Saccharomyces cerevisiae S288C: one gene and its partners. Changing the gene in region 2 together with the main gene of any one other region gives a genetic interaction. Each region holds a gene or a part of one and is shown on either strand. Other genes may lie near its edges.

Evidence for each region. A genetic interaction does not mean that the proteins touch.
Region 1: mutations in VAN1 (region 2) and CHS6 are lethal when combined (synthetic lethality), as found in Saccharomyces cerevisiae (3 studies listed by BioGRID, with this or other methods).
Region 3: mutations in VAN1 (region 2) and SKT5 are lethal when combined (synthetic lethality), as found in Saccharomyces cerevisiae (3 studies listed by BioGRID, with this or other methods).

The regions. Positions count from the first base shown.
Region 1 is NC_001142.9:237,650-242,154, reverse strand, and holds CHS6 (Chs6p), read right to left. Parts: upstream 2,742-4,505; coding exon 501-2,741; downstream 1-500. Other genes in the region: SAP185 (Sap185p), read right to left, coding at 1-73; 1-phosphatidylinositol 4-kinase LSB6, read right to left, coding at 3,069-4,505. UniProt on the Saccharomyces cerevisiae protein: Member of the CHS5-ARF1P-binding proteins (CHAPS) which mediates export of specific cargo proteins, including chitin synthase CHS3.
Region 2 is NC_001145.3:39,522-43,416, forward strand, and holds VAN1 (Van1p), read right to left. Parts: upstream 2,274-3,895; coding exon 666-2,273; downstream 1-665. Other genes in the region: ATR1 (borate transporter), read left to right, coding at 1-303; TAF8 (Taf8p), read right to left, coding at 2,522-3,895. UniProt on the Saccharomyces cerevisiae protein: Involved in regulation of the phosphorylation of a number of proteins, some of which appear to be important in cell growth control.
Region 3 is NC_001134.8:104,816-109,179, forward strand, and holds SKT5 (Skt5p), read right to left. Parts: upstream 2,592-4,364; coding exon 501-2,591; downstream 1-500. Other genes in the region: KIP1 (Kip1p), read left to right, coding at 1-406; Arf family guanine nucleotide exchange factor YEL1, read left to right, coding at 3,117-4,364. UniProt on the Saccharomyces cerevisiae protein: Activator of the chitin synthase CHS3 which polymerizes chitin, a structural polymer of the fungal cell wall.

The sequences.
Region 1 (4,505 bases), on a different chromosome or scaffold from region 2:
CCCTGTTCAACAGTTTAGCTAATGGAGACTGTGAACCAAAATCTTGTCCAAACTTCCAAAAGGACCCTGACATATTTTTTCCTAATTATTAAATGGGCAAAACGATAAACGCCACTATTCTTAAACACTAACTAAAACGAATTTTTCAGAATCTCTAATCAACTAAAATTAGCATGTATTACCTCAAGCTAAAAATATTTAAAGATCTTAGTAAAATATATCTTTTGCGTACCTTTCCCAAATACACAAGCTAAACTACCCTTATCAAGCAGATCTGGTGAAATTTTAAACAAAAATAGTCCCGTTCGATGACTTCGAGCGATGCCCAAGCTTTTCTCATTCTCTTCGGAGTGTTTTGGCGTTAGCCGTCAATCCCTCGCAAAAAAAATTTTCTTCCCAGTTCAAAATGTAAAAAAAAAAATAAAAGGTATACGGTTACCCTTACCCTCAGTCCATCCAACCGTAGTGGTTATATAATAATACTAAGAGCACCGTTTTGTTCAAGGTTGTACTGTGTGATCTAGGTCGGCTATCCACGCAAGCATGGCATCGATCATGACCATGATTTCGTCTCCTATGGAAGGTTGAAGAAGGATCTTATTACGCAGTATATGCGTCCCCAATTCGTTGCATAGCTTTTCTAGCAGTTGCAGATTAAATATCTGGCAATAATTATAATACCTGCAATCATATGATATTTTCTTAATTAATAAACTTATTATGGTATCTGTGTCTAGTAATGTAACCTCTTGAATATTTTTTGGAGGTTGCAGGTATATTTTTAGCAGCTGCTGGCAACTTACGGGGTCGAATCGAGCTACTATGCTTGTTCTTAGACAAGCTACGGCATCTTCCCAATGCCAGGTACGCAGCATGATCAAACCCAAAAGTTCCCACTCTAATCCGCTGTGTTTTTCATCTTTATTGCTTAGGCTAATCTTGCTCAATTTCAAGTCTTGATATAAATCTAAAAATAAATCATCTAGCCACCCTTCACAAAACCTTTTCTTTCGGGATTCCATCGGTATATGACCGTTTTCATCGATAATGTTGTTAGAAGCTTGATAGAATTCAGTTTCCATCATGAAAGCTTCTGTTCGGATGTTTAATAAGCCATTCCAACCAATTTTGTTCACAATTTCCATTAATAACCCATATATTTTACCACTAAACCATCCCAATTGTTTGCCGATCGTATTCCTTGCTATTAAATTGATATTTTTTATGTTTTTGACCTCTTGAGGGGAGACATAATTAATCAGATTCACAGATTGTGGACCACAAATCGGACCCAACTTTATCGCAATATCATCCCAGATTTCCTTTGTATAACCGATTTTTTTTTCGTTTATCATTGCGATTCTTCCAAAAATTTGCCGTTTTAACTCATCCTCTTTCCAATTCCTCAACGTTCCCGAGAGATTCGTGAATTCCATTGCAGTCAAGTCGTAGTGTTCGCGGGTACCATTCAATGGCTTTTTATAATAATTGGAGGTAAGAAACCTACTGTACATTGTTTCCAGGTGTCCATCATTTTTGCGCAAACGAGGCATTGAATTTATTGCGAAGAGAGCCTTTTCATACTCCTCTTTTTTGATGTGGCATCTCGCTAGGTTGTACCAAGATTCAAAAGAGTCTAAGGCTAGTTCGGTTGATGTGTTAGAGACGCCTAATGCTAGTTCGTAATCACCCCTGTTTAACAAAAAATTTGTTTGAATGTTCAGCAAGTCACTCATGCAATTCATTAATCGTGCTGAATCAGCATCGCGAGGCGGTAAATCATTTAGCAGAGATAAAAGGGGGTCGAGCGTCTCATTTAAAATAGTTATCATGTCTAACTCCTTTGTTTCTATGTGATCTAGAATTGTGATCATAGCCGTCTTGTAGTATATGTCATGGATTGGATCTTTCTTGGTAAGTCCTTTCAGGTAGTCGATTGTAAAATCCACTAGGCTTGGCGTGATTGCAATAAAACTTTTTAAACTATACATTAAATAGTTATTGACAATGGTGGCTTGCATACTCTTGGTAGAATCCCACCCGCAATTCAGTGACCGTGGTAAGAATCGGCAGAGTAATTCTATGATCTTTTTGCAAGAGGAGATAGTATCTTTTCCAACGTAGAATGGACACTCTACTAAACCGGGAGGTTTTAACTCTGGATTAGTATTTGTTATTATCGCTCGGATGACAGAACTTGCGAACGTTTCTTCCCACATTTTTTCTGTCATGGTCAGGTCAGTGGTTTCCTTGTTACAGTCAATTGCCGTTGTCTGGAAAGTATCGTCAGCATCGTATCTAATACGGATGTCTAGATTGCTGAAAAAATTAAAACAGCAATAAGTCAATATGATATTATTCGATATATTTTTGGAAATCCGCTTACTCGATTTTAGCACTTCAAGAAACTCTACGGGCATTGCAGGACCGGAAACTTCGATCCCTGTAACGTAGAAATATTCACCAAACTCTTCTTTTTCATGTTTGTTTAAGTAGGACATGTGAACAATCTCAATGGGACCTAGTCCAACATTGCCAGAAGAAATTAAATCCTTGATTAAATGCGTTCTATTGTGCAGACACTCACCAAACTGCCTTTCCATAATTCGTGGACAACTTTTAAATATGTCTCGATTGAGGAATTGATAACCCTTTTGTACTGAAGGTGAGTTCCCAGGTGTATAATCGCCACCAGGTATTTCATTTTGCTTTTTGGTTTCCGATGGCCAAAACAAATTCATAAGGGCAATAGATGTAATCCTTTTTTGCACCAACAGCTTAAGAAAGGTGTTTGCTTTTAATGTGAGTTAAGTAATGTAATGATTTGTTAAGATCCTCTATTCCTTTTTGAGTATCTATTTATTTTCCTAAATTCTTCAAGGCTATTTTTACCATGAATCCGCTAAGATCTGTTTGGGTTCCGATTTTTCGAAGACACACAAAAATAATAGCCGGTTGCTTTCTAACACTACAGAAAGAGGTTTTTTCGAAAGAGTCTATTTCCTATATGCTAAAGTAGAGTTATGATTTCTTTATATTGAGTATGTATTGAATTATTTTCCAAAAAATCAACACCAGGTGAATACGGGGGTGGAATTGACTATTTGTAGCCGCTCTGCTATCACTGTTTTATTAGCAAATGGGTGCAGAGTGGAATCATAGTATACAGGATTACTATTGCTTTGGTTATGTGCATGAAATGGAATTGTGCTTGGGGTGCTAGGGAGTACCATTGGTGAAGTGGAATATGATCCAATAGGTTCGTCTATGGCGTTTTTGAAAATAGAAACTGGAGGTGGGCAACAGGGAACTTGCATCTTCTCATCTATTACCTGGCACCTTGTCCTTCTAACCAATTCCAAGGGGCCTTGTCGTGGGTCTTTCAATGTTTCGACAACGTTGAACGCCTGTCCTTTTAATACTGCCCATTGCTTCTTCCACATTCGGACGTTAAAATCTTGGTCCCTGCTAAATAGGGCCAAGAATTCTTGGTACGACTCTTCCCACCAATTAGTGCTTGTCAATATCGGTAGGAAATGAGATCTCATTTGCTCAGAAAATGGTTTGGCTAGTAGTTGCAGAGGCAAATACAACCAGCCATATGGGTACAGACGCCACTCATCAGGATGCTTCCAGGGAAAGGACAACCCATTGTCGATGGCGGCTAACTTGAGTCTCCACTTATTGTTTGAAAGTTTGATTAGTTTCACCATCCAATTGTCTAGACCTCTATCTGTGTTTCTCATTATATAATCAAGGATAATTAGTTTTTCTAGTTCCAATCTGAACTGACTCAAACTTGATTCTGTCCATTCAAATTTCGAATTTTCTTCAGATTCCGTCGAAATTGGAGAGGAATTTATTTGCTTGGACGGTTCTGTCTCATCTGTTAGGTTCCTGGTTGTCTCTGGTTTATGATTGATATCTTCGCCGGATGACTTACGATGAAATGAATGTTTAACATCTGAATACATCCCAGGTAATGGGTATTTATGAAAGAACTCATCGGCGTTGATGTACTCCTTCAAAAAAAGTTGGAAAGAACCCAGCTTTTTTTGTTTCTTCTTCTGAAGGTTGTATCCCAATACCCATTTTTTTCTATTATCATAAAAATTAAAAGACTCTATAGATGCAGTATCTGTATAGGGTACTAGATGCGTTTCCAGTCGCCTATCCAACAAACTAGCCGCACTTTCACAGATGTACCCGAGGTTTGGAATCAGACAACTTCTGCCAAACAGACATGGGAAAAACGTGCGGTGTGCCCATTTGGTCCATTTGGGAGAAAATGGGCCATATGGTTCCTCATCCTTGGGCTTGAAGACCCCCACCGGAACGCTTTCGTCGGCCCGTGTTCCATACACAAAGTACGACCCACTTGAGCCAGTTTGGATTCTCTCGAGTTCGCGTCCAAATGTCTCTACAGCCTCAATACAGTCAGAAACCAAATGGTTGAAGTTTTCCCTCTGTTCTTGTTCTTCTTTTCTTCGGAGCTGCTCATATGC
Region 2 (3,895 bases):
TTTCCTGCTTCTTCCATTATCTTTAGTGATAATTTACCGATGGAGTACCAAGGCATGGCTGGGTCATTGGTGAATACTGTTGTCAATTACTCCATGTCCTTGTGTCTCGGTATGGGTGCCACAGTAGAGACACAGGTCAATTCAGACGGAAAGCATCTTTTGAAAGGCTATAGAGGTGCTCAGTACCTTGGGATAGGATTGGCAAGTTTAGCATGCATGATTAGCGGGCTTTACATGGTCGAAAGCTTCATAAAAGGCCGCAGGGCAAGAGCTGCTGCAGAATACGATTGCACTGTGGCTTAGCGGAAAGCGGTTATTAAGGTAAATAGATAGAAATACACCGCTGTCATGCGATTATATAGACATGGGGCATTTAGACACTGAAAGTCTTCATATCTCAACATGCAACTAGTAATAGTACAATTTTTAGTACCCTTTAATCTTTATTGTTCGCTCCCTAATAACGAAGCCTTGAACTGTAACCAGATCCCAGGTTACCCCTTATCCTTAAGAGGTCTTTTATTTACTCTACATAATATATATTTTTCAATCCATTGAAGAGGATTAAAAGAAGAAAAATCAATACCGAACAAAAAAACAAAACGAAATAAAACAAAACAAAAAATTAAATTAAATTAAATTAATATTAAATGTCATCATGATTCTTACTCTGATTGTCTTCTCTTCTCTCTTTCCCTTGACGCAATTTCCTTCAAATCGTCATCGCTCGGTTCATAAATATGCCAAATAGTATAATGCGGTAAACCACCAACCCTGTACCCCATTTTCTTTGCCATTTTACCAAATGCTTCTGTTTCTGCATGATTTTCAAAAGTAAATGCAGGAAACTGTACCCCGTTTCTAAATATTTTGGCCTTCGCCAAAATAGAAACTCCCCCTACACCGTCCAAGTCCACCGCTTCATTTGGATCACCTTCTGCATCTCTGATATAGGCTAAGTGAACTCTCCACGTAGGATATTCTGCATAGCCTTCTACAATAACATCATCTTCGTCAAGAGTCTTTGCCAATGCTAGTGCCTCCTGAGATTCCATCCAAGAATTCAAATCATATGGTTGTTCAGTTCCCAAAAATGTAGGTAGTGGTCTCCAAACGTTAGGGACGATAACATCGTAGTTTTTGCTCATCAAATCTTGAATGACTGAACCAGGGCACAGCTCTACATCAGCATCTCTCCAATAAACCCATGAGTGGTAAGGTTTCAAAGCATTGGCAGTTAACCAATTTCTTGCCCTCCCCATTAGTTTTCGTCTTATACCTTGAACCTTAACGGCATGTCTGTCACTAAAACCTTGTCCAATTACTTGGCCAAAATCCTTTTGGAAAATTTGTACTGATCTAAATGGCTTGTCATAATTTTCATGGAATGGTGGTGAAAATGCCTGGTGGACACGGTTGATATAACCTTCGTCCATATATTTAAGATATAATTTATCGGTGCCTTTTGTTTGCGAATCAATGACAGCGTCAATCTCTTGAAAAATCTGAGACAACGTGCCATTTTGTAAGTGCCTAGAATACGCTATTAAAGCATCCAACGTAGTGTCACCTTCTGAGCAATCACTGACTAAAAAGGCCAGATCAATCAGCTCGTGTGGATAGGTTAGGTTCATTAAATGCTTGAACATTAATGGCAATACATCCGCAGCGTTTCTTAGTGGAATGCATAAAAGAATGTGATCACGTGTTTCCAATCCATTCGGAGCACCTTCAAAATTCGACAGGTCGTACTCCTCAACAGTGGAATCAAAAAGCATGTTGAGTTCCCTTTGGTATTTTTCATCATCCTTGGGAGTCAACACTTCTGAACCAAATTGTGATATTAGATAATGTTGCACACCATCATCAAATTTTGAAATCACTTCAGGATCGATATCCTCAAAATCATAGTCGTAATATTCTTCATCTTCTAGGTCGATAGTCTTGTAATTTTCGGAGGATTTTGAGGAACCCAACAACGACCTACCATTTTGCGTGGATACACCAATGCCCATTCCGGAGAGAAATGATATAAAGAGATATAACGACAGAACGGCGATAATAATAAGAGATGTGATACTCACCGTAAGCTGGAATTTAGACGGTGTGGAGCGCGGCTGGTACCTGTATTTGCCCTTTAATGAGTTGGAGTTATGCTCTGAGCGTTTGTCCTTGATGTTGTTCGAGCTACCGTTCCTTGAAATGGGCAGGCTTAGTCCATTGTCCATGGCTTTCTTCTTTATATTTGACCTTAAATTAAAAAACATGCCCATTTTTTTGTGTTAATTGGTAGGTCAACAAGCTCAAATGACTGTTACTGCACCCTTACGTCTACTTCTTTCACGTTACCATTTACTAATTTACAAGACGTAAACTTTCTTTGATTCTAAATATTTCAAGCCTTGTTTCGGTATAGTCGCCGAAGAACGAAAAAAAAAAAAAAAAAAAATTCCTCTCCGGAGATAAATTGAATACGTATTATTATATTAGGGACAAACACTGGTTCACTGAAAGCAGTTGTTTACATAGTTATATCGTGATCTGTGGCTATATCTGCAGGAGGAGATGTCGGGGCGTTTTCATTAGGCGTCGAATGAGGAGAGTGACTTGTAGTAGCATCGATATTGGTTGTGTTATGTGCTACAGGTGTAGTATTTGTAGTATCTTGCGCTGTCATTGTTGGCGGTTCCGATTCCGCGACCAGGTTCTCCGCAGGCATACTCGACATTTCATTCTCATCTTCACTGCTCCCTAAGATGCCAAATAAGTTTATGTCATCGTCCTCATCCTCGGCGTTTGTGTTGATAACTATGGTAGAGTTGTTTAATGCATTAGGGGTGGTCGTGTCGTCTGCAGCGTCCCTTGCGTGCTCGTTATTTAGTAGAAGCTCAAGATCATGGCCTTCATCTTGTTCCCTCTTTGTTCGTTGTGAAATAAGCTCTTCTTGCCGACGTTTTAGCGATTTTGCTCTTTCTTCCTTGGCCATTCGTATTTTTTCCTTCTTCAACTTCTGGACCTTAGGTAAATTGTGCATGAATAGTGTCATAGACTTACGAAATTGCAATTCTATGGTTTTTTGTATGGTTTTGTGAGACTGGTGAGGACTCTCTGGAAGGTAGAGAGTTTCAGAAATTTTCAAGAATGGATTTTTTGTTCTTTTCAACTGATTCACTTCAAATTTCGTGACACGTTCTCTCGCCAATTCCACTCTATACTTCGCATACTGCTCGATATTGTTTTCATTGAAGGACTTTTCAGTTATGGTTGGTTTCCTTTCTTCCAGCGCGTTGCCCCAAATCTCCAATTGTTGCTCGATAGCGTCCTCATCGTCTAAACCCGGCGGTTGCGGGGTATTTGACGCTGATGATATGTGGGAGAGACTTTTGTTCAAGTTCAATAGTGCCTTTTCAGACTCTTGGCTTTCTTTTACTATTTCTTTCTTGATGGTTTTTAGATCAGTAATTGGATGGTTGAACTCAGGTGTAAACTTATAGGTATGGTCAGGCGGAAAGTTGGGCAGCCAACTCGGTATCTGTTTTTCCAGTGGGTTAGAGGGAGGCAGCAAAACGTTGATCTCGTTCTGTTGCTCCTCGATATTATTCAATTCGTCCTCTTCATCTTCTTCGTTATGCGGTAAAGCAGCAAGAGACGACCAGCTCATCAATTTTTCATATTCCGTGGAATGCTTCGATTTGATGAATTCTGAGGCCTGAAACTGCTGATAAAGGGAGGGCGCATCCAGGTTAAACTCTCGAAGCAACAATTTCAAATCTGCTTGAGAAGCTTGCGACCTTCTTTGTAAAAGTGTTAAATTGTGCAGGTTCCGAAACATGCCGTCCATTTGGACGGTCACGAGGTTGACCAGCTCATCCAATGCAAAGTTTGAAATGCAGAT
Region 3 (4,364 bases), on a different chromosome or scaffold from region 2:
CCTTCATGAGCATACAAGACCTGAAGCGTCAGTAATCAAGGCTTTACCCTTATTGGATTATCCAAAACAATTTCAGATTTATAGGGATGCTGAAAATAAGAGCAAAGACGACACATCTAATTCTCGTACTTGTATACCAAACTTGTCAACTAATGAAAATTTTCCTCTTTCACAATTCAGTCCAAAAACCCCAGTGCCAGTGCCTGATCAACCTCTACCAAAAGTTCTTATACCGAAAAGCATAAACTCGGCCAAGTCCAATAGATCAAAGACCTTACCAAATACAGAGGGTACTGGACGAGAATCGCAGAACAATTTGAAGAGAAGATTTACCACCGAGCCAATATTGAAGGGAGAAGAAACTGAAAATAATGACATACTGCAAAATAAAAAACTTCATCAATAAGGGGATATAGCCATTGTAAAATATTTGTATCACTATATGCATTGAGTGTAAACTGTTGCACCTATAAAGAATGAAAACAATCTAGTATGTGTACTTACATAATTACACAGTCTTTTTTTTTTTTACCTTGTTTATCCTTCTTGTTCTTCAAGCTTGTAGGTTTTTTTGACTCAGTTTTTACTGCAGGAAAATCTTTACGAATCATGTTTGAACTGCCCATATTTGATAAACTAACTTCTTGCTTTGCTGCCATCGACTGCTCAGCAACTTCCCTTGACATTCCCTTTGCTGAGGAAGAACTTTTCCTGATGCTTGTATCAGAACCCGTTTTAATACCATTTCTATTCGTGTTTGAATTCATGTTAATTTGCAAACCTTGTGGCTCACGATCACGTTTTGGATTTCCAGTAAAGAATGTTTCAGATTTTGAAGAAACTCTTGAATTTGACCCTACGTTACTTGTTTGACTGTCCACAGTAGAGAATAAATTCAAAGTACTGATACTTTTATTTTTTTTATGCTGTTTTTTACCAATGCTGGCTAGTCCACCGTCCCTTGAGCGTAGCTTATTAATCGCCCTCTTGTCCTCGTTCCCTGCAGCTTTCTCGTACCATTTCCATGCGTATTCCATGTTACGATCACAGCCCTTGCCATGCTCATAGAAGTAGCCCAGAGTGAATTGGGCCTTTGGCAAACCAGCATTAGCTGCACGCAAGGCCCATTGAAAAGCCTCATTTTCATCTTTTTCAAAAGCAGGTTCTGCTCCCAGTAAGTACCATGCACATAAACCTAACATTGCCACAGAATCGCCTTTTAACGCTGCCTGCGTATAATAGTGTACAGAAAGTGATGTATCCTGCCCTACTGTATCATTACCTGTTTCATAAATCTGTGCCAACAAAGTTGCTGAAGGAACATGCCCTAAACTTGCTGCTTGAATATATAGTTCCATTGCATACTTTTCATCCGGAATGACAACATCTAAGAACCCTTCATGATAAATCTTAGCCAATTCGTATGGTGCTGCGGCCGTCAACTCATTAGCTCTTGCTGCAGCCCTTGATAACCATTTTACCCCATTTAATTTAGTATTAACGTCGGTTGGAAGACCCATTCTGCCGTAGAATGAATAAAGTCCCAATTTATACATTGCTGAGGGATGATTCCTGCTAGCCGCAAACTTTAAAAAATTGACTGACTTACGAGAATCTCTTGTTGTTCCTAGTCCTTCTTCTAAGCAATGCGATGCTCTGTAAGCACTTTCTATATGACCATGCTTTGCAGCTGCTTGAAATAAGACAAATGCTTCTTTATTTTCAATCTTCCCAAATGCTCCGGATGAGTAGCCGTCCGCTAATAAGTATTGGGCATCTGAATAACCCTTTATGCTCAGTTTCTTCAAATAACTTTGCGCTTCTTTCAAAAACTGAAGTTTTAAGTCAGATTGGCTGACATTTCCTTCCTTGTCACTATCTTGAACAAGAGCATTGGAAGATTCAATAGTCAGTGCGGTTTGTAACATATATTGCGCATACTGGAATAACACTTCAGGATCTTTAGATTTTTTAACGTTTTGTCTATACATTTCTATTGTTTTTAGCCTTGGAACTAAGGAAGTATTATTTTTACCACCCAAATATCGACTGATCATCTGATGTGACAAATCTGCTACAGATTCATTAGTAGCCGTTAATTGGGTATCACTGCTACCATTCAACAGGTACATGTGAGACAAATCTACAGAACGAGTTCTTTTCTTTATTTGCTCCTTCGTAAGAGATGTACTCGAATTTGTCTGTCTTAATGCTCCCGGTGACGGAGAATTTGTAGGAGTACTTCCCAAAGAACTTAAGGAAGTATTATTTGAATTATTAAGATGAAGCTGTGGGGGTGGGACTGGAACGAAATCTTCCTCTTGACTATTGCCTATATCGTTTGATAGTAGAGGTACTGACGCAGCTCTAAGATGCTCATTGATAAGCGGTTGGTTTGCCGACCGCTTAGGAAGGTCTGCGGTACTGAAGTCTTCATTGTCCCTGTTTTCCCTATTCTCTTTATTATCTGAAAAATCTTGACCTACCTTCAACGAACTGTTTTGAAACTGTAGGCCCCTGTTATCAAAATTTATATGCTGTGATTGCATTAAATGCTTCTTATATGGATGTACCTGCGGTGAACTTGCCATTTTTTATCCTTTTATTTTAACTTTATCACCAAAAAAGACGAGAACCTGGTAGTATACAATGGAAGGCTTATTAACAGCAAGTCTAAAGTCAAGTGCCAACACCTAGTTTGTCTCTACTCTTAAATCTTACATCATCCTCGAGAGGGTCTGCAGAAAGAATTTTTCGTTCTTTTTTTAGCAAGTCAAAACGCGAAGTGAAACGTGGGAAAATATAACGATGACCTTTCTTAAAACATGCATGAAGACTCGTGAAAGTCATATGTACATATGTCGTATAGATTTGCAGATAGTTGCAACAAATAATTAGCGATTAGTTATGGCCTATACATGGCAGCTAAGTGCGATGGCATGTTCAAATGTATTATATTAAATCAAATGAACTTAAAATGCGATGTTTGGGTGCAAAATATCTATAGATGATAGAGACGGTTCATTGATCTTACGGATCAACTTTGAGATCAGTAAGGCTGACTAGATGGTACAATTTTGTGCAGTCAATGGACTATTAAGGGATCGCAAAGAGGTATGTGCGCCAGTTTAAACGAGGTAAAAAAGAATGACACCTATGGGGTCTCACAAAAGGGCTACAATGACAATTTCAGTGAAAGTGAGGGCGTCCTTCATGGTAGTAAGTCGATGCCCACTAGCATGAAAAATATGCTACAGTCTCCCACGATGGTCAACATGTGTGATATTTTACAAAACAAGGAAGCTGCTAATGACGAAAAACCTGTGATACCTACTACGGATACCGCCACTGCGGGGACTGGTACTGAAGATATTAGCTCCACTCAATCCGAGGAAACTGATCAGAATAGTCATCTTATTGCCTCAGAGATCTTGGAAGGCACTTTCAAAGATGTATCTTACAAGGAATATGCAAATTTCTTGGGAAACGATAACAATAATCAAGTCTTGACTGAGTTTGTAAAGTTATTGAGTCCTTTGCCGTCGTCACTATTAGAAACGCTTTTCAATTTATCGAAAAGTATATATTTCATTGCAGAAGCGCAAAATATCGACCGGATACTAGAGTGCTTGAGCATAGAATGGATAGCTTGCCACCCGAACACACATTGGAAGTCAGGCTATAAGTCATGTCATATAGTCTTATTTTCCCTGTTGATCCTTAATTCGGATTTGCACAACAACTTTCAAGTTGACCATAAAAAGATTAAGTTTTCCATGGTTGCATTTATCAACAATACACTGAGGGCACTAAGAGAGGAAAATGAATACGAAGAATTGAAAATATACTCCCGCGAACATTTGATCATCGAAGAACTTTCCGAATACTATAAAACGTTAAATGAAACGCCTTTACCGTTATGCACAGAATCTAGAACATCAATAAATATATCAGATAACCAATCTTCCTTGAAAAGGTTCTCTACTCTAGGATCACGGGAATTTAGTACATCAAATTTACGTAGTGTTAACTCTAATTCTACTACACTATATTCAAGAGATGGTCAAGTATCTGTACGAGAAATGAGCGCAAAATCAAATAAAAACTTTCACAATAATCACCCCATGGATGCACTCTACCTTAAAGAGTCTTTTGATGACGGTTTAATTACCGAAAACGGCTCCAGTTGGTTCATGGACGATTTAATTCTTATAAGCAAGAAATCTTTACCACGTAAATATTCTAAAAGAGACAAAGATCAAGTGGCGGCACCAAAAATGACCTCTAAGAGAAACAAATCGTTCTTCGGATGGCTAAAACCATCTAAAACGACTACACTTATTGAGCACACATCTAGAAGGACT